Arabidopsis thaliana: one gene and its partners. The protein of the gene in region 2 interacts with the protein of the main gene of each other region in a pairwise test. Each region holds a gene or a part of one and is shown on either strand. Other genes may lie near its edges.

Region 1 (4,625 bases), on a different chromosome or scaffold from region 2:
AAAACAAAATCCATGAATGATCAGTTATATTTTAATAGAATAATATATAAAGTAATAATTTTGTTGGAGTAATATGTTGTAACATTAGTGAAAATTACTATTTTTGTCATGGGTTTATATGTTTTTGGTAAAAGAATTTCTTGAATTAATTTTTAAAAAAATACAAAAAAAAAGGAATGGTTGCATGGAAAATGTTTTAGTCTTTTAGATATGTTACACGGCTTAGAAGCTTAGTAGGCCGAGGCCCAGTCCATAATAATTTAATGGCTCAATGGAATATGTGGTGAAACCCATGAGAACCGGGTAGATCCGGATCGTAGAAAACCAAAGAATTGATTGAATGGAACCTCTCAAGTCTTATAAGCCTTCTTCTTTTTTTTTTTTGCCGGCAGAACCTTTTAAAGTTTAATGATACTCAATCGATCGAATCACGTTGTTCTCCGGAAATGATAATCTACTTATCTAAGTATGAGTATCGAATAATTGCGCCTGCTAAGGAAAGTGGATTTTAGTCTAAAACTAGTTAATGGAATAAAGTTAGCATCTTTTTAAGGCAGACAATACGGGTCACACTATACAAATATTTAATACCTCAAAGCTAAAAATCATTATATCATCAGTCACTAATAGTTTTCCTTTTGATAAACCAAAAATTTCAGCAAGGAACGGTAACGGATGTGTTCCTCCTACAAAATAAAAGGAATAGTGGAATACAAGAGAGTTCAAAAAAAAAAAAACAGGTCCCTAGAATCTTGTATCCCGAATCATGCCTTTCATTATATCAATCTGCAAATCAGATAAGAAAAATTATGAGATCATGATACTTATTTCTAAATATATACTAAAAATGAGTGATTTGATCTTAAATCTTAATCATGTGAAGATTAGGCAAGTAAGTATAGACTTACGCATGGAGTTTCTACAAAGGGAGAGGAGAACAACAAGAATTGCGAATCCAGCAATGACTCCTACGATGATCGCGATTGATTTCCCCACGTGATCTCCATTCGTTGGATCTTAATAACGAAAATTAGATCAAATTTAAAAAGATCTTAATATTGTATGTGACAAATTAAAGTACATAAGATAAGGACAATATAGTATCAAGCTAAGAATTAGATTTTCTAAGATGCAATGACTTTTGGACTATGTGATATTGATCAAGCTATAAAGAATATATAAAATAAAGTTGAAAATGGGGACATGGGTGGCTATGCCTATAAAGAAAAGAATAATATATTGCAAAAACATTCTTTTCTGACCAATGATATTATAATCATGATACTCGAATTTTCCAACGAATGATTCAAAAGATTAATTCTATTTTATTCAATACTTAATGGTGTCTTTCCAGTGGAAATTACAAAAAAAAAAAAGCAACGAAAATTTTATGATTTCTTCAACTTTCTCGTGCTACCAAGGAGCGACTAGACTTGTGATTTTCTCAATTATAAGCGGCGGAAATTTAAATTTTGTCAAATTCTCACACATTTCTATACAGTTCATTACTACAATTTTCAATTATATTATCATGGCACTAAGCATGATTCACGAATATAATTAAAGAACTTACGTAAATTAGAGCAATAGCTAATAAATGAAATAAAGATTTTAATTTATGGACTGACCTGAAGAGAAGTCATAGTAACCAGAGCCCCAATAACGAGCATAGCACTGAGCCAAGTAAACCTCAGCTGCAACCGCCGAGCCACAAAGATTCTTTAATTTTCCGACAGACTCGGCAAGACAAGCCGTACAGTCACTAGGACTCAAGTCACCAACACACTGAGCATAACCTTCGACTAAACCGGACCGGCTAACTTTGTAACCGAGTTGAGTCGACTCAAGATCCGACAACACATCGTCTCTCCGCTTAAAGAAATCGTAGTCATTCTCAACGCTCTTGGAACTACACTTCTTGTACCTAAGACTTGTGTCTGGTTTCCCTAGAAAATCGTTTGTTTCGTAACGTAAGAAGCAGCCTTCGAGCTGGAGAGAAGCGCCGTAAGAGTAAGGACAAATGAGAGTGATTTGATCGACTGAGGTTTGGATGCATTTTGAGCAGTCTGATGATCGGAGATCGTCACGGCATTGATAGAGGCCGAAGACGGCGGAAGAGGATGAGGAGGAGGAGGAGTCGTTGCCGACGGCAAAGCTGTTGAAGGACGCGTCAGAGGAGGAAGTGACGACAGAGGAGAGGAAAGTGTCGCGGTTTGACTCAAAAGGTGTGTTTGGTGTGTATTTTTCCGGTGAACATCCTCCGTAGATGAAGATGTGAGATTCTGATGAAGATCTTGAGGAGGAGGATGAGTAAAAGAATAAAAAGAGGAGAGAGAAGAGAAAGAGTCTTCTCATATTTTCTTGTTCTTTGAGATTGTTTTCAAAGGAGCTTTCGTTTTTGATCTATCTTATTCCTTGTAGTGTTTTATTTAACAATAATAATCGAGAATGATTATTCATCACTATGGGTCCGAAACTTTTATCGGCGACATTAATACAAACATGTATAATGCATACCGTAGTTAAGAAATAAGTGGATATATATAAATGTAGCTAGGATGAATACAAAACTACATAATAGATCAACAAACGTGGTCTAGAACATTCACTTGTAACGAATCAATACCAAAGTGTAGACAAATTGGATGATAACATTATTGTTTTGTTAAGAGTGCCTAAAATGATTTAGACATGATTAAAGAAGATTTGGTTTTGTGGGTATAATAATATCTTGAAACTTCTTTTGTGCAAAGAGGGTCCCATTTTAGGCATGTCCTTTTGATTAGTATATGTTCGCTAGATCGATTCCATCACACATATTCTCATCAAGTTAGTGGAGAATTTTCAAGTGATAGAAACAACTTTCTTTAAATCCTGACCACGACCAAAAGGGCTAATTAGATTGATCATAAGAGATTTAAAGAAAACGACGACTAAAGTGCTTAGCTTCATCAAATGTATAACCTAGGCGAAATTTCGATGCTTCTCGACCTATCTTCACCTCTACAAAAGAGTAATTTTGAAAGGTGAGAATTTTCTCAAGGACGCTGCTAGACTCGTCTTCTTCTTCATCATCTAACCATAGAGTGAGCTTCAGAAGTGTTGCATTCTCTAAGATGTAGTTAGCAACCTCGGTTTCAGCTTTTCGGCTTTTCTCTTGGTCAGCCTTGGGCGTCATTTTTATTTTGACATTCTCAATGGATGTTTGGAGACATTTTGGCACTGGTGAGCTTGCAATTTCCTCCATCTTTGGATAACCATGAAGCTCCTACAAAGGAAAACACCATAAGACATGTATAATATATATAGTCACTCGCTACTCTCAATACCAAGAGAAGGAATCATTACCAAGTCAATAGATTTTAGGTTGGGACTGCTGGAGAGATATATAGGCAACATCTCTGAATAGTCGGTATGGAGAAAAGCGTACAAACGGGTCAAGTTCTTGAATTCAGGCAGTTGTTGCAGTTTTGTGTAAGCATAGGTTCCCTGTCAAGAACCAACACTTGGTAAGAACAAATACATGCATCTAGAGTATGGCCAGAGATGCTAAGATCTGTGACCTCCGAGAACTCAGCAAAAAACTTGTGCAAAGTTTGCGTGTTTGAAAAGTCATCTCCCCATAAAACCGTACATCGATACACATCTTGATAGAAGAAATAACACTTTCCACTCTGAAGTCTTCCAATGGAAAATCTCTGATACGCAGAAACTCTAAGCTAGGAGTGTCAATCACAAGTCCAGATTCTCCATCATCACCCAAGGAGACATCATCATTTTCTCCCTTAAAGATAAATGTCCATAGACTCAAGCTCCTTAACGTCTGAGATCGCACTTTCAAAAAGTCAACTCCAACATCACAAATGCTCAAGACTTGAAGAACAGGAGAGCACGAGATAAGCATCTCTAGAACCACATCACTCGGTGTACTGCGAAACCCTAAATGCATAACCTCAAGGTGAGGTAGATAGAAAGACTCACAACTATCAAAATCATCCAGAATTACATATTCTAACCGCAAGTTTACAAATTTAAGAATCTGTCGAGAAATTAGGTACAAACCAGGAACACTTTGCCAGAGATTTCTCCATCTTGTCGGTAAGACACTTGTCCTAACAGACTCACTCGTGGGAAGATTCAAGAGTATCTCTTGCAGCAACTCATTGGGCAATTGGCTTATCAAATCTTCCATTGGTCCCTAAATTGATCAACAGAACAAAGAGACAAAGACACGGTATTTATTAGCTAAGGTCTAAGAAAACAAATCAAAATTAAACCGCGTTCTGCAACATGAGTCGTAGAAATTTCTAGACCAGTTAACACGAAATCGCATTCATAGAAAGCAAATTAAGTTGAGATCAAGTTCACAATCAACGTACGAGCAGAGCACTCTCAGATATTTCCAAAACCTAATAAACCAAAAAATTTGAGACGAGTTTATGGAAAGAAGGGTTTTGGTTTCACGTTAAAAAAGTATCTTATCTTCTAAAGACTCTGGTCTAAAGAGAGTGTTTCTACTTTTTTTACAATAACGAGCTTTCGAGACATGACTAGGGTATACGTATATCACAATTATTATGTATGAGGTTAATTTCTATTTTTCGTTACTCTTTCTTTCTTATTAA
Region 2 (4,322 bases):
CTTGTGAGATTCATACTCCCACAGACACATTCAAGAGATCAATTTCTCACCCAGGAAATAGCTTATTAGCATTATCACTGAATTAGATGTAAGTACACATCACATTACTCAACACCTACATGAGAAAGGATCCTAAAATACTCGCGAAGAAGTATATTCGAACACTAGCCTTCTCGATAGTGACAGACAAGAATACGAATCTAAGAGGCGAGAAGAGAACGAAGATAGAAGACAAACCTGATAGACATAAGGCTGAAATGGAGTAGAGAAAAACGGAGCAGCCATGGCGGTGAAAACCGCAGAAAGATCTTCCAAACAAAAACCTCCGAATCCAAATTTCCACAGAACCAATTGGATTAGAAAACCTTTCACGTCGATGCGAGACGATCAGATCGCAGATCCAAATAACACACTCGAAACACTCTGAGCTCTCTCAAAACTCCGGTCGAAATGTTCGCGGTGGATGTCACCGACGGGAACCCAACAAAACGACAGATTAAATTCGCTTAAATCGGCCTGAAGCTGCACGTGGAATCTGTTTACGTGGAGAGATCTCATTGGTCACAAAATACACATCGACGTAAAATTTCATTTCCGGTTTAATATAATTACATTTCTTCTCAACCAACCCTCTTTCACTAGATTTATTTGGTACAAAATTTCTTATTCAATAGCCGGTTTAAAGACATTGGTACAACAATTACAAATCTTGTCGACCACTAGAGACATCTACAGAACTCACAAAACCTTTACTAAGCAACCATCCCACGCAACCTTTACTCTTCCATTGTTGTGTGTGAATAATCAGAAAGGAACCAAGTAGCTTCATCTATTAATAAGAAACTTAGATAGTTTCCCAAATAACTTAACAACACAAAACAATTTAAGAGCCTGTTTTCATCACCAATAACTTCAAGTGGAGACAGATGACAGATCTATCATCTATCTCTATCCATCTCTATACAAAGACCGGCAAAACTTAATAAAATCACTACACATTGGCTCATCCACCAGATGAATCCAATAGAAATGCAGTCTGAGTTCAACTACTACTACACGCATTGTATTTCCTCATCATCTCTACACTATCAGCTATTGTAGACCCTGGAGTACCAACAAAACCCAGTGAAGCACAGCTACAAACAGCTTCCTCTATGTAAAGCTGCACATTGGATCCTCCATGAGGGTAACAATGGGTCTGCATCTTTTTTATACTATCAAGACTCATCGGAATAGACCCAAATTTCTGGCCGTGACTCGCTGAATCAAGTTCATGCTCTGTTCGCGCTAAGAATTCATCTTGTTCCCCTATAAAGTGGAGCTTGAAATTTGTAGAGTTCTTAGACAAATCACCCAAGTAAGTTCCGGTCCAGTTAAATTCAGGAAGGTCTGTCATTACAAACACATTAATTAGACCAGGATTCTTAACGCTCAAAGCTTCCAACTTCTGATATAAACCCGTAAAAGTGCTCTCCCGATGATTCTTGAACTGGCCATCTAGTAATCTAAGTTGTGCACAAAGAAACGGCGCCTTTATGGTTTCTGAAGCAAATTTCTTTCCCGCGATCATTATCTCTCGAACAAAAGGAAGGAAATCGACCTTCTCAACCAAAGATTTTATCTTTGGAGATTTATGGATATCGATATACAGCTCTGAGCCTTTGTATGGAGCTGTGAAGAGGCTCCCAAATGCTAGAATAGCTGCAGACTCAGCTTCTGTACCATGTCCAAGAGTCTTATACACATCTCTTCGCCTTCTCACGTTGGACAATTTCTTTTTCTTCTTGAGCTTCTCATCAGGCTGGAACGAATCTAATCTCCCATCAGCTTCTCCATTTTTATAAGTCCAAACAGTGGTTCTACAATCTTCATCCACAGCATACAAACATTTATCTACATTACCACGAACTCCAGATAACAAATAGCCACACTGTTTCAGTGACTCATAAGCCTGAGACTGTTCAGCTAAATCATCAGTGCATAGAGTCTCCAAGTCAACACCACACTGTAGTGATGCAAAGTACCTAAAATCAATGACTCGAACAGCCGAAGAAGATACCAGCGACGAAATGTCTACAATATCAGCCATCGAAACGTACCTATAAACACCAACATTTGTCACCCACATTGATCAAATTACTAAAACTCATTACGAAAAAAAAAAGAGATTTTGTACCTGTCAGTCTTAAGAAGCTCAATTGAATGATTCCAAACTGAGATTCGTATCTCGCTGGGACTCAAAACCCTAAATTTAGGACAACTACCGAGAGCAACGGCGTGATGATCCAGAATCGGAGGAATAATTAGGGTCCGATTAAGAATTCCCGCCATAAGAAGCGCATTCTTAAATTCCGATAGCTGATTACTGAATCCACTGTGAGGAGCGTACCAGAGAAACTTCTGACCTAGAAGAGTTCGGGTTAGTATCTCGGATCTGCACTGAGGGAATTGAACGGATCCAGAAAATGCAGAGATTGAGAACAAGGACTTGGGCATCTCGGAGTAAGTGATGAAGAAGACGACGATGAAGAACACAACAAGTATAGAAACGGAGCAAAGAAATATCGCAGATTTGTCGGTTTGCTTCTTCCTGTTTGGCCATGGACGTGGGCTTGGTCTACTGGGATTGAAGAAGTTGTTCATGTTTTTTGCTCTGAGGTTTTAGTCGCCATCATTGCGTTGCGTCTAGTTTTGCTCATGTGTAGAAGATGCCAAAACGGTGAGTGTCACTGTTTTGGGCCTAACTAATATTCTCTGATGGGCCTTAACTAAAATAATACGAACTTAAACATAGTTAATTTTAGAAATCTTTTTGTAACATAATCTATACGAAGCTATTTGCGCGTCCACATAACATTTTAAACAAGCAATGGAGATTAGATATCTTGCTAATTAATATTTATGAACTTATTTTTATTTTTATTCTTTTTAAATTTTTGTAAAATAAAATAAAAAATATATGAAAATAAAAGAATATTTAAAAATATAAAAAATTTCTAAATATTTTGTCACCAAAATAATATTAAAAATATCAAAATGTAAATTTCTATTTTATTAAATTTATACACAAAAATAAATTTAGGTCTTTGGACCTAACTAATAATATTCTTTGATGGCCTAGAGAAATCGAATTCACTAGATGATCTAATATTTGTTGATTTTTAGTCCAAAATCGAATTCACTAGAGAAATTAACCTATTTAGCACTTACATGAATATATTGATCATCATTGATAGACTTAAGCAGTTGTAGTCTTTTAAGCTTTTTACGGGTTCTTTTTTTTCTCTTCTTTTCTTTAAGATCTCTTTATTTATATGTCTAAATCTAAACGTAATTTTCTGGATTTATTGTTAACATATATTAATCCCCATATCAGAAGGATGATAATTGATGTTGATATATCAGGATATAAAATAATTAACTAATGATTTATTTTAGCCAACAAAATATAACATACTTTTAACAAATCGTGATCGAATAACAATAAATTCTAAATAACACTTTAAAACACTAAAAGTCTTTTGAAATCATAAACCAATAACACCCCATGAATAAAAACATAATTAGAAACTTACGCATGCATCAGCTTCCGTAAATCTCCTACATCTCTCTCTCTCCTCTCTGCTTTTTACCTTCTAGGGTTTTTGATCATCTCTCAGGTGAATACGTTTTGGTATAATCTCATACCAATGTCTGCGAATTCCAAGTCGGAGAGGTCTGCTTCTCAATCGGCGGAGACGGTGGCTGTTTCTAACCGTGTCGTGGCGTCACGGTCAAGTCGTCAGCCGCGTCTCTCTTTCTCCTCCTTTGCTCCCTCATCAGAGCACGATAACCTGAAGAAGCTGAAATCCGATGAGATTTCTCCCGCGAGAGAGGAAGTGCCGGTGTCGGTGAAGGAGAGAGAAGAAACGGAGGAGGAGGAAGCGAAGAGGACGTGGAATCTTCGTCCGAGGAAGGCTTATGGTGGTTCGAAGAAAGGAAACGGCGTGTTCACGGCGGAGGTTTGCGGTGGCGGCGGAGGAGGAGGTTCGGAGGTGAAGAATCAGAAATCAGGCGCAGGAATTGAGCCGAAATCGAACAGGCAGAGAGGAATCCCGGCGGAATCACCCGGATTAGGCGGTGGTGAGGTTGCAAACGAGAATCATAGGCTTTGGGTTGCTCTAGCTCGAGACGAGATCGAAGAAGATTTGTTCAGCATGAGTGGGAACAGGTCATCTCGCCGGCCAAGGAAGAGGGCAAAAGCTATGCAGAAACATCTCGATGTAAGTCACCAGGTGTTCGACGAATTGCCTCACAGAGAATTCAAAACAATGACTACGTTT
Region 3 (5,973 bases), on a different chromosome or scaffold from region 2:
TCGTGACATCGACTAATCAAACCGGATAAATAAACGTGTATGTCTCTTGCTTAATTGAGAGATTAAGATATTTGAGGAGTATCTCAAGGTTTTATCAACAAAGAAACGTAACACTATTCTTTTGATCACGATAGGGTTTCTTTTTTTGGCGTTACTCTATATAGCTTATTTTCCCAAAAACACTCAAAACGACGACGTTTAGCAAGACATATATTATCCAATAAGTTTTAAAAGTCTAAATCAAAAGCTTTCGTTTCACAAAAACCTCTCTCTTTTTTTCTCTCTCTCTCTCTGTCTCTGAATCTTCCATTGATGTTTAGGTATGTCTCAGTTTCTCAGATTCTCATGCTTTGTCTTCTTTCGCGCGTCATACGACTCTTTCTTTTCACTCAATGTCTCTTTGGTAACTATGCACACCAAATGTTCGATTAAATGCCGCTTACAGACCCCACTTGAGTTATTCTGTTAGCATCACAGATTTTTTTGTTTTCTTAGACCTCTTAAGAACGGAGAAATTTCATGGAAGCCAAAGTTGGTTTGATCATACGATACATTCCAGATTTCTAATCAAATCCTTTTATAAAAATCTGCTTTTGATCATGTTAAAGCCAAAGGGTTTTACATAGCTAGAGAGCTACATGTATATAGAAATCGTTTGAATGTCACGAGCTGCATAAATTCCTGTTCTTTACATCATCAAAGCTTCTATTACCATCAAAATTATAATTTACATGGAAATGATGGTTAACATATGCAATTGACAAGAAAAATATGTGTATATTTACTTATGCAGATATTTGAATCTGGTCACAATGATGAATGTAGGGAAGGAAGGCACACACACAGTTACGTCTCTTCTTCTTCTTCAGGTTCTTCTCTGTTATTTTGGTTTTTCTCCGCTTCTATATTCTTTAGCCAGTCTACAACTTGTTGAATGTTTGGTCTTTTCATTGGATTTTGGTTCACACACATGCAGGCTATGTCAAGCACACGAAGCATCGCTTCTTCATTTCCACTTTCTCTCAGCAATGTATCAAACACTTCCTCTGGTTTCCCATCTCTTTTCATAGTATGCACCCATGCGACCAATTCTCTTGACATCTTTGGCCTGAAAACCTCCATTGGTCTTTTCCCTGTGAGAAGCTCGAGCATGACTACACCAAAACTGTACACGTCACCTCTCAAAGTGGCTACCCAAGCTTGTCCATACTCTGGGGGAATGTAACCCAATGTGCCCACTAGCTCAGTTGTTACATGGGTGCGATATGGAAGGATCAATCTTGACAACCCGAAATCTGCTACATATGCCTTGAAATTTCCATCCAAAAGGATGTTGCTGGACTTGATGTCTCGGTGTACTATGTGTGGTTCACATATCTGGTGCATGTATGCTAGTCCACTACTTGCTCCTCTCATAATGTTGAGTCTTTTTGGCCAATCCAGCTGAGCTGGACCCTCAGGATTTTCGTGCAGCCAATAATCCAGACTACCATTCTCCATGAACGAGTAAATTAGTATCCGGGCACTATCATGGACGCAATAACCTTGTAGAGCGACCAGGTTCTCATGTTTCGCCCTGGACAGAACTTCTACCTCTGCCTTGAATTCCTTTTCCATCATACCATAGTCTCCTGTGAGTTTCTTAACCGCCAGTTTCGTTCCATTATCCAAGGTAGCCTTATAGACAAGGCCAAACCCGCCGCAGCCAATTATATTAGCTTGACTGAAGTTGTCGGTAGCTTTCAAGAGCTCAAATATGGTCAGGTCTTTTACTTCATATCTACTGTTTCCAAACAACAGTACAAGACTTATGTCTTTATCCGACCCTGGAGGGACTTCAGAATACGAGCCATTGGAATTTATCTCCAGTTCAGCATTCTCAGAGTCTCCTGGATTTACTCTCCTTTTAGAAAGCACCAACAGAGCTAGCAGCACCAAAATCAAACTGACGCCAAAAAAAAGCCCAAGGACAAGCCCCAAAACAAGCGTTCTGTTGACCTTTCCTTTACCCATCTTTGTAGTAGAGTGCTGAGTTGGATCGCAGGAGGTTAGCAGTACACCACCGCACAGCAAGGGGTTTCCTTCAAAATTTGCTTTTGGGAAGGTATCAAACTGGGTCCCTGTGGGTATCGGCCCACTGAGAGTGTTGTTTGCAACATTGAAATATGACAGGAAATGGAGTCCAGTGAGTGACCATGGAATTCTACCGGAGAGATTGTTGTTGGACAGGTCCAGCCTCTCTAAGTTAGTGAGGTTTGACAATTCATCTGGGATGCTGCCAGAAAAATTATTACCTAGAAGCTCCAGGATATGGAGAACCTTTAGCTGCCCAACCTCGACTGGTATAGTCCCAGTCAAGTTGTTCCTCTTGATGTATATCGTAGGTGGGAGGCTGGAAAGCTGATTGTATTGCTGATTAGTGGTGACATTATTGGGATTGACAAAAACCGGCAGCTCCAGATAGTTCCGCTCTGTTGCATCGTATGCCTTTTGCGACATCAGAGCTCTCAGCTGAAACAGTTCCTTTGGAAGCTCTCCTGTTAGAAAGTTATCGGAAAGATCCAAGTAGAAAAGGTCTGGAAGAGTTCCTAGCCAACCAGGAATTGTCCCCACGAATCGGTTCATGGACAGGTCCATAACTTCTACCCTCTGGAGCTTGATCAGCCAAGCTGGTATTTCACCTGTCAATCTGCACGCACCGATACCAAAAATTTGGAGGCTTGGAAATCCATCTGACCGAAGAAAGTCTTTGTTGCTTGGTACCGTTTCGTCGTAAAAATTCTTTGCCATAATGAGAGTAGAAAGCTTCTTGCAGCCTTGTAGAATGCTGAGAGCCCCTGTAAGGTTCGTCATTTTATTGTCTGAAAAAGTAAAGAACGACAGGGATTCCAATTCCAGTACTTGAGGAGATATCTGTCCCGTTAACTTGTTGCCTGCAAACCTCATTGCTGTCATCATTTTGCATGAGTAAACCGTGGAGGGAAATTCGCCGGTGAAGCTATTGTTTCCGAGGTCCAGAATGCTGAGGCTCTGAAACCGGGAAAAGTCTATCGCCGATAAAGTTCCTCCCAGCTGATTAACCCGTAAATTCAACTTCACGAGTTTTGTGCAATTGGCGAGAGAAACCGGGATAGAACCCATGAGGTTATTGACATGGAGTTGGAGGCTACTCAGTTTCGAAAGCTTACCTATATCCTTGGGTATTTCTCCTTCGATGTGATTAGAGTAAAGCTCAAGCAATGTCAGTTTGGTGAGACGAGTAATCCCATTATCAATTTTGCCAGAAAGACGGTTGACTGGTAAAAAGAGTTGCTCGAGCTCAGGAAGATTGTAGATTTCTTTGGGGATTTCACCAGAGAGATTGTTGAAGCCTGCTCGAAGAACACTTAGCCTCGAGCATCTGCTTAATTCTTGAGAGAGATCACCGCTGAAATCATTGTAGGAGAAATCCAGTTTGGTGAGCTGCGGCGAAGCTGTGCACATGAAGGAAGGGATAGAACCCGTGAAGCTGTTGTTGCTGACATTGAAACTGGTTAAATTGAAAGCACCCTGAAGAAAAACAGAACTACTGAGAATTTCTCCCTCAAGAAGATTGCTGGAGAGATCAACGGTCTGAATTGGGAAGATTCCGTTGCTTCCATTGCCAAATGATTGTTGAAGTGGCAATTCACCTTTGAAACTGTTGTAACTAAGATCAAGAACCAAGAGCTGATCAAGGGCAGAGAGGAAACCAGGTGGGAGTGGACCAGAGAGACGGTTATGAGAAAGGTCGAGACGAGAGAGACGCTGGAGATCCAAAACAGACGACGGAAGATTGCCAGAGAGTCCTCTAGAGGACAAAATAATCGAAGTAACACGATTTTCAGGAGACTTATCACAAGAGATTCCTTCCCAGGAGCAACAATCAATGGACGAATTCCAATGCAAAGGAGAGACTGGAGATGATACGTTGCCAGAGAACCAAAGGAGAGAATCTCGATCCTGAAGATTACAAACAGCCTCTGAAACTGTAAGAAAGAAGACAGAAATGGAAAGAACGTAGAGAAGGACAAAGAGAACCATGTGAGGACTCAAAGGTTTTACTTGTCTCACAAAAGGACCAATGGATTTAGATCTCATCTTCTCGTCAATCATGGCGAGAACAAAAGAAGAAGAAGAAGAAGCTGAGAAAGATTAAGAAAGCTTGAAAAAGAAGAAGAAGAAGGAGAGGGAAAAGAAGAAACAAAAGACATGATTATCCAATCTGGGTTTCTCTGTCCGAAGCTTGTAAATGGCTCTCAATACCATCGTTGACCAAAGGGAATAGTCAGACCAAACAGAAGAAAACTTCTTGTCACACCCAAAGTTCACTTTTAAATTTTATTTTATTTTATCATGTTATCTTTCTGCCCTGATTGTGGTTGTGGGTATGCTGTTTTTATGTAAAGTTTTTTTTTGATTAAAAAGTTATATATATATATATATATATATATATATATATAAATTATTATTCCTTTTTGTAATAAAAGCTCAAGTACAACTCTCTGAATAGCTCTGGTAATTATTAAAGTCAGCCCTATATATCCTTACTTATATGAACCAATGAAAAATGTTTTACTTATTTCATTTGTCTGGTTTTGTTCTGTCATTTATTCATGATTAAGAAAGATTAAAAAACGTTTTATGTGATTTATTTTGAAATTGGGTCATTTCAATCTTTGGAGGTGGGAGGTGCATGCGTGCGTGCTATGATGTTGATCATGAAATTGAATTTGATCATAAAATAATAATGATGGGTACAAACATTATGATATGAAATCAAAATAAATAAATAAAAAAGAAGAAGTTGAAGAATAGTATTATGATGATTATTTTTTGTGGTAGAGGCGTTTACCTTTTGGGGCGGCTGGTTTAGTAGTAGTGGCTCGTAGTGGTGGTGGTGTTACACAACTTTTTTCTATATCCTCTAAAATTGTAGAATATGTAATTCATCTTTATTTATTTTTGTCCATTTCTTTCTTTACTTTTTTGCCTTATGGAGGATCTTTTTATGTTTAATTATGCCAAGTGGAAGCCACATTTAACATTAGATAGTGGTCATAAAGAACGAAAAGTAGATAAAGAAGATCATATGATAACTATTTTTTTTTTGTAAAGGATACTATTTATTTTGTTTGACTTTTTGATTTCTTAGGGTTATAAAAATCCTTCAAGCTGTTCATGTGTGTGTTTCTTTTCGTAATTTATAATGAGCAAATGGCGTATATGATAGCTAACAAGTTACTTTAAACAATACCGTATTAAATTAACTGTCTTAGACTTTTCAGAAATTGTACTTATTAAATGGCTATAACCCAAAAAAAAACATTAGTATAGATTTTGTGTGATATTATATTTATCACTTTCATACGATTAGAATAAGTCATAAGAAGTTACTTAATTTTAAAACCGAAATTGTGTTTTTGTGAATTATTGACGATCAAAAACAGTTATTTGGAGTGATGTTTTAAAAAGAGAGTTCTTCGAAGTCCAATTAAATAGAATCTATCATGATTAATGCGTTTAATACTTTAACTAGTGTTTAGGAGCAGTAAGTAATGATGGTGTGAATTTGTTTTTCTATCTAAATATTATTTAACATGATAGAGCTTACGAAGACATGGTAAGAATAGTTATCTCTTTAGTGGAATCGAATATAAAGATTTGACATTAAATAATACCGAACAATCTTTTGGAGTTGTGTTGGACCTCCTTTATGTATGCTTTATTTATCTCTCTATCATCTAAAATAAAGAAGGAAATTTAGAATTCTGAGGCTCAGATTGTTGAGAATAAACCGTAAAATAAACTCTTGTGACTTTATACAACGATAATATATTATTAGCTTTTCGATAAAAGACGATCACATCTATTTTAATGTTTTTCCACTGAATTTTTATTATGTTCAATCAAATTTATAGAATCTCTAATAATTTTATTTTCCACCTAATATAT
Region 4 (4,362 bases), on a different chromosome or scaffold from region 2:
TAACTGGCTCTGGACCACCCTTCGGCGTAGCAGAGCCAACAGGGCTTCCGAATTCAGCAACCTCTGTATCACATAGCCTTCTCTCAATATTTACAGCAGTTGGGATACTAATGCCACTGCTCAGGGAAAATTATCTTTAAACAGACAATAGTTTCAGGGTTTCAATCATTCTCTGCAAATTATGAAGCGCGTTTTCCATAACTATGATGCGATCTATGGAGCTCAAGAAAGCAGCTGTGATTTGCAAGAAGATTTTAATCCATGACCTAATTCTCACCATCTGTTCTATTGCTATAGTTTATCACTGAAAGTATATTTATTTAGTAGGAGATACTACAAAATCAAAGGGCTTAGGATATATACATTCTTGTAGACACATTAAGCATAATGTATCTCTTTACAGTTTTAGAAAATAAAATACTTAGGGAACGGTTAAGAAATACAAAAGCAATGTCAGACATTATTAACTATTAGAAAGATATAACAGAAAATAAAATGAAAGCTACTTGAAGCAGATACATACCTGCAGCACTCTAAAACAAGTAGGCACACCGAAAATGACAGACAAGCTCCATGATACCTGCAGCATTTCCAAACAGTTTCTAAAAGGATGACAATATCTTTAATATGCTCTTTTCAGCTCATAATCTTATAAGCTGAAATTTTTGATCTGGTTCCTTGTGGAATCATATGCGGCTAAAGATCAATCTGTTAGCAACGAATAGTAGCAAATACAAGCATCTCATAAAGAGCGGATAAATGCAAGCACGTTGAATTGAGTATTGAAATCGAGTAAATAATACAGCACATTATTTCTAGTCTCTGTATACACTTTGTTACAGTGATTTACAGATGAGTCCTTTTGTCAGGAGCATATTTATATCAAGAAAAGGAACGATACAACTGTGACACCAATTATGGCTACAGTGGCAAGAACTGAATTCTGATCAAATGCTTTCTGCAAGGTGCCTGCTCTTGAGAAATGCTGGAAAGCCAGAAAACAAGAGATTGCTAAAGAAAGGATAGCACCTTCCTGTTTCCCTCTGCAAGCGTATAAATTCAATGAGTCTTGACTAAAGAAAATAAAACCTTGATCTGAAACATTACACTCTTTTTGAGAATCTAACCTTATGCTCATAACTTGATATGGCGCCACAATCACCAAAAGCAAAGCAATGAAGGGCAGCTCAAGTTCAACTATAAACAAGGCATTGTATAAGAATTAAAAACATACAAAGGCAGGCACACTCTTATTTAACATGAAGATCTGATAAAACATGCGTGATTCCTTTCAGCATGTCTTAGTAATGGAAATTTTAGCCCCTGACGTCGAAAATTAGCATGAGTTTCATTCCAATTTCTTTTCTAGTAAATGGCAACTGAACTAAAAAAAATCCAACACTAGAATTCAACAACCTATAACCCAACCTACTTGAAGACGAATACGAACCTGGAAAAGAGAAGAACAGTCGAGTAAGAAGCGCCAAGAATGCTGCCCAGATGCCATATTCACCCCTGCAAGTTAGATGCAAAAGTGTGATGAATTCAAGACGCAGAGTATGAAAATTTCTGTCATCCAGAATAGCAAAAAAAGGAATAAAATCCACAAGCATAGGTAAATGAGCATTAAAAAAAGCTTACTTCATCCAGGAGACAATGCCCATTGGTGCTTGTAGTGCGAATAGTGGAACAACAAAGGACTTATGGATACCAGTACCCCTTGCAAACATCAATGCACTAGAAAAGAAACAACATTCAGTATAGAAATGAACTTATATGCTGCTGACATTATGAATCAGTGGAAATTATACAATTATCTATCACAAATCACTTTCACACATGAATTGAAGCTAAACTATTTCCCTGTACAATCATTTGCTATTATCCGATTAAGCTAAACTTGTAAGAAACTTCATACATTAGCATATCTTCAGCAGCATTCTGCGTTAAAATTCACAGCTAATGAGAGTGAGAGATCATACACGCAAGAAATTGTCGAGATCCATTGTAGATTATGAACAGACAACATTGGAGTAGCATAACAGACCACACTCGATCCTCTCTTTCGCCGCTTCTCAGCCCTCGCCGACACCGTAGCGGTTCGCTGACGATCAGCCGATAACCTACCAACCAACATTCATTTAGAAAAAGCCAAAATCCACTGATTGAGAATTTATGAATCGGGTGTTTCTGTGTCACTATACCTTAACGGATTGAAGCAAACAACACTAGTACTGTGACCTAGACCGGAGATATTTGAAGGACGAGGCCGGAGTTTAAGAGCGAGAAAGGGTTTCTGGTGGTGAAGAGAAACGATCCGGGACGATGAGAGACAGAGACTCGCCATGAATTGTTAAGATTAGTTACGGTGGTGGAAAGATCACTCCGTCATCTTTCCGTTAAAATTGAATCATTTGCATCAATATCATGATCGCTACGTGGACGGTGTAGATTTAGCGGGAATGCTTTTAAAGTGGGGCCCATAAATACGTGTTTGGAAAACGACAGTCGTTTAGTTCACAATCAATCAAAGAATCTTGAATCTCCACCGTTGTTGGCATCAATACGACTGCAAATCTAACCACGTAGGATTCCACGTCAGCTTTTAAATATCCCAATCCCATGTCGACCAAAGATTTTAAATGTGTATTGTTTTTACGTTTGTACATGAAAGATCATTTTTATTGCCAGCGAATAGTTGCCAAAAATGTACCAGCATTTCTTAAAGAGCGGATAAATGCAAGCACATCTTTCTTTTTTTTCCTTCACACACATTCTTACACTGATTAACATTTTTGGTCAGGAGCATATAGTTATAGCAACAAAAGGAGCGATACAACTGTGACACCAATAATGGCTACAGTGGCAAGAACTGAACCCTTCTCATATGCTTTCTCCAAGCTCCCTGCTCGTGAGAAATGTTGGAAAGCCAGAAAACCAGATATTGCTATTGCTATGATTGCCCCTTCTTGCTTCCCTCTGCAAGTTTATAATGAAGTCAATGAGTCTCGGCGACTAAAGAAAAGAAAACCTTGATATATATTAAAACATTACATTCTTTAAGATTCTAACCTTATGTTCATGACTTGATATGGCGCCACAATCACCAAGAGTAATGCGATGAATGGAAGCTCAAGTTCACCTATTAATGTATAACTTTAATTAATTAATAACTTGTAATCAACCTACATATTGAAGATGATTACGAACCTGGAAAAGTGAAGAAAAGTCGAGCAATAAGCGCCAAGAATGCTGCCCATACACCATACTCTCCCCTACAAAAATAAAGATACACAAGTTTAAGTTTAATGACTTCAATAGGCTGCTCAAGCATGCAAAAAGAAGAAGAGAGACCCATATATATCACCATGTTAATGAATATATCTCCATGTTAAAAGCTTACTTAATCCAGGCGACGATGCTCGATGGTGCGTGGAGAGCGAATAGTGGAACAACAACTGACTTATGTATACCAGTACCCCTTGCAAGCATCAATGCACTAGAAATGAAACACCATTCAGTATAGCAATTAACTTATGTTATTGACGTTATGATGAAAACAGAGGAAATTACACAATCATCATTAGCATAATTTCACCAGCATTATGTGTTAAGAAAATCACAGTAAATGAGAGAGATCATACAGGCAAGAAATGGTGGAGATCCATTGTAGACTATTGGCAGAAATCGGAGCAGCATAACAGACCACACTCGATCCTCTCTTTCGCCGCTTCTCCACCCTCGTTGATACCGTAGCGGTTCGCTGACGATCACCCGATAACCTAGAAACATTACAAACAAAAAGAGTTACACAAAATGCATGACTCGAAAGAATCCCAAATCCATTGTTTTCACTATACGGTACCTAAGCGGATTGAAGCAAACAGGACTCGTGTGGCGACCTAGACCGGAGAGATCTGAAGGACGAGACCGGAGTTTAAGAGAGAGGAATGGTTTCTGGTGGTGAAGAGAAACGATCCGGGACGATGAGAGACAGAGACTCGCCATGAAATTGTTTAGATTTAGTCACAGTGGTGGAAAGATTGACGGAGTGATCTTTCTGTTAAACGACTATATCACTGCATGAATATATGATCGTTACGTGGACGTGTTGATTTCGTGCTTTAGAGTGGAGCCGAGTTACACGTGATTGGAAAACGAGAGTCGCTCACTATCAATCAAAGAATCTTTGAATCTCCACCGTTGGAATCAACTCCAATTCAAATCCACCCCACTTAGGATACCACGTCAGCTTTACCATATCTAATTCATTGGAACATGACAAAATTTCATGTCGATCATAGATAATTTCACTAGTTTTTTTATTTATATATATTGCAAGTCTTATCATAAAATAATTGT

The links.
Region 1: the proteins of AT4G17430 (region 2) and PDLP8 interact in a protein complementation assay, tested with the Arabidopsis thaliana proteins (one large-scale study listed by BioGRID).
Region 3: the proteins of AT4G17430 (region 2) and PSY1R interact in a protein complementation assay, tested with the Arabidopsis thaliana proteins (one large-scale study listed by BioGRID).
Region 4: the proteins of AT4G17430 (region 2) and COR314-TM2 interact in a protein complementation assay, tested with the Arabidopsis thaliana proteins (one large-scale study listed by BioGRID).

Annotation. Positions count from the first base shown.
Region 1 is NC_003074.8:22,439,765-22,444,389, reverse strand, and holds PDLP8 (plasmodesmata-located protein 8), read right to left. Parts: upstream 2,620-4,625; 5' UTR 2,356-2,619; coding exon 1,629-2,355; coding exon of another isoform or gene 1,612-1,628; exon of another isoform or gene 1,017-1,611; coding exon 874-1,016; 3' UTR 787-873; coding exon of another isoform or gene 782-786; 3' UTR 516-781; downstream 1-515. Other genes in the region: AT3G60710 (F-box family protein), read right to left, coding at 2,918-3,268, 3,349-3,489, 3,635-3,929, 4,017-4,192. UniProt on the Arabidopsis thaliana protein: Modulates cell-to-cell trafficking.
Region 2 is NC_003075.7:9,724,159-9,728,480, forward strand, and holds AT4G17430 (O-fucosyltransferase family protein), read right to left. Parts: upstream 2,677-4,322; 5' UTR 2,644-2,676; coding exon 2,177-2,643; intron 2,100-2,176; coding exon 1,043-2,099; 3' UTR 552-1,042; downstream 1-551. Other genes in the region: AT4G17420 (Tryptophan RNA-binding attenuator protein-like protein), read right to left, coding at 238-285; AT4G17440 (chromogranin (DUF1639)), read left to right, coding at 3,690-4,262.
Region 3 is NC_003070.9:27,216,833-27,222,805, forward strand, and holds PSY1R (Leucine-rich receptor-like protein kinase family protein), read right to left. Parts: upstream 4,434-5,973; 5' UTR 4,135-4,433; coding exon 847-4,134; 3' UTR 536-846; downstream 1-535. UniProt on the Arabidopsis thaliana protein: Tyrosine-sulfated glycopeptide receptor with a serine/threonine-protein kinase activity. Regulates, in response to tyrosine-sulfated glycopeptide binding, a signaling cascade involved in cellular proliferation and plant growth. Not involved in PSK perception.
Region 4 is NC_003070.9:10,285,532-10,289,893, forward strand, and holds COR314-TM2 (cold regulated 314 thylakoid membrane 2), read right to left. Parts: upstream 2,374-4,362; 5' UTR 2,348-2,373; coding exon 2,205-2,347; exon of another isoform or gene 2,138-2,204; coding exon of another isoform or gene 2,124-2,137; coding exon 1,983-2,123; intron 1,738-1,982; coding exon 1,642-1,737; intron 1,516-1,641; coding exon 1,451-1,515; intron 1,198-1,450; coding exon 1,128-1,197; intron 1,044-1,127; coding exon 878-1,043; 3' UTR 536-877; downstream 1-535. Other genes in the region: AT1G29380 (Carbohydrate-binding X8 domain superfamily protein), read left to right, coding at 1-140; COR413IM1 (COLD REGULATED 314 INNER MEMBRANE 1), read right to left, coding at 2,814-2,979, 3,073-3,142, 3,211-3,275, 3,404-3,499, 3,645-3,782, 3,866-4,008.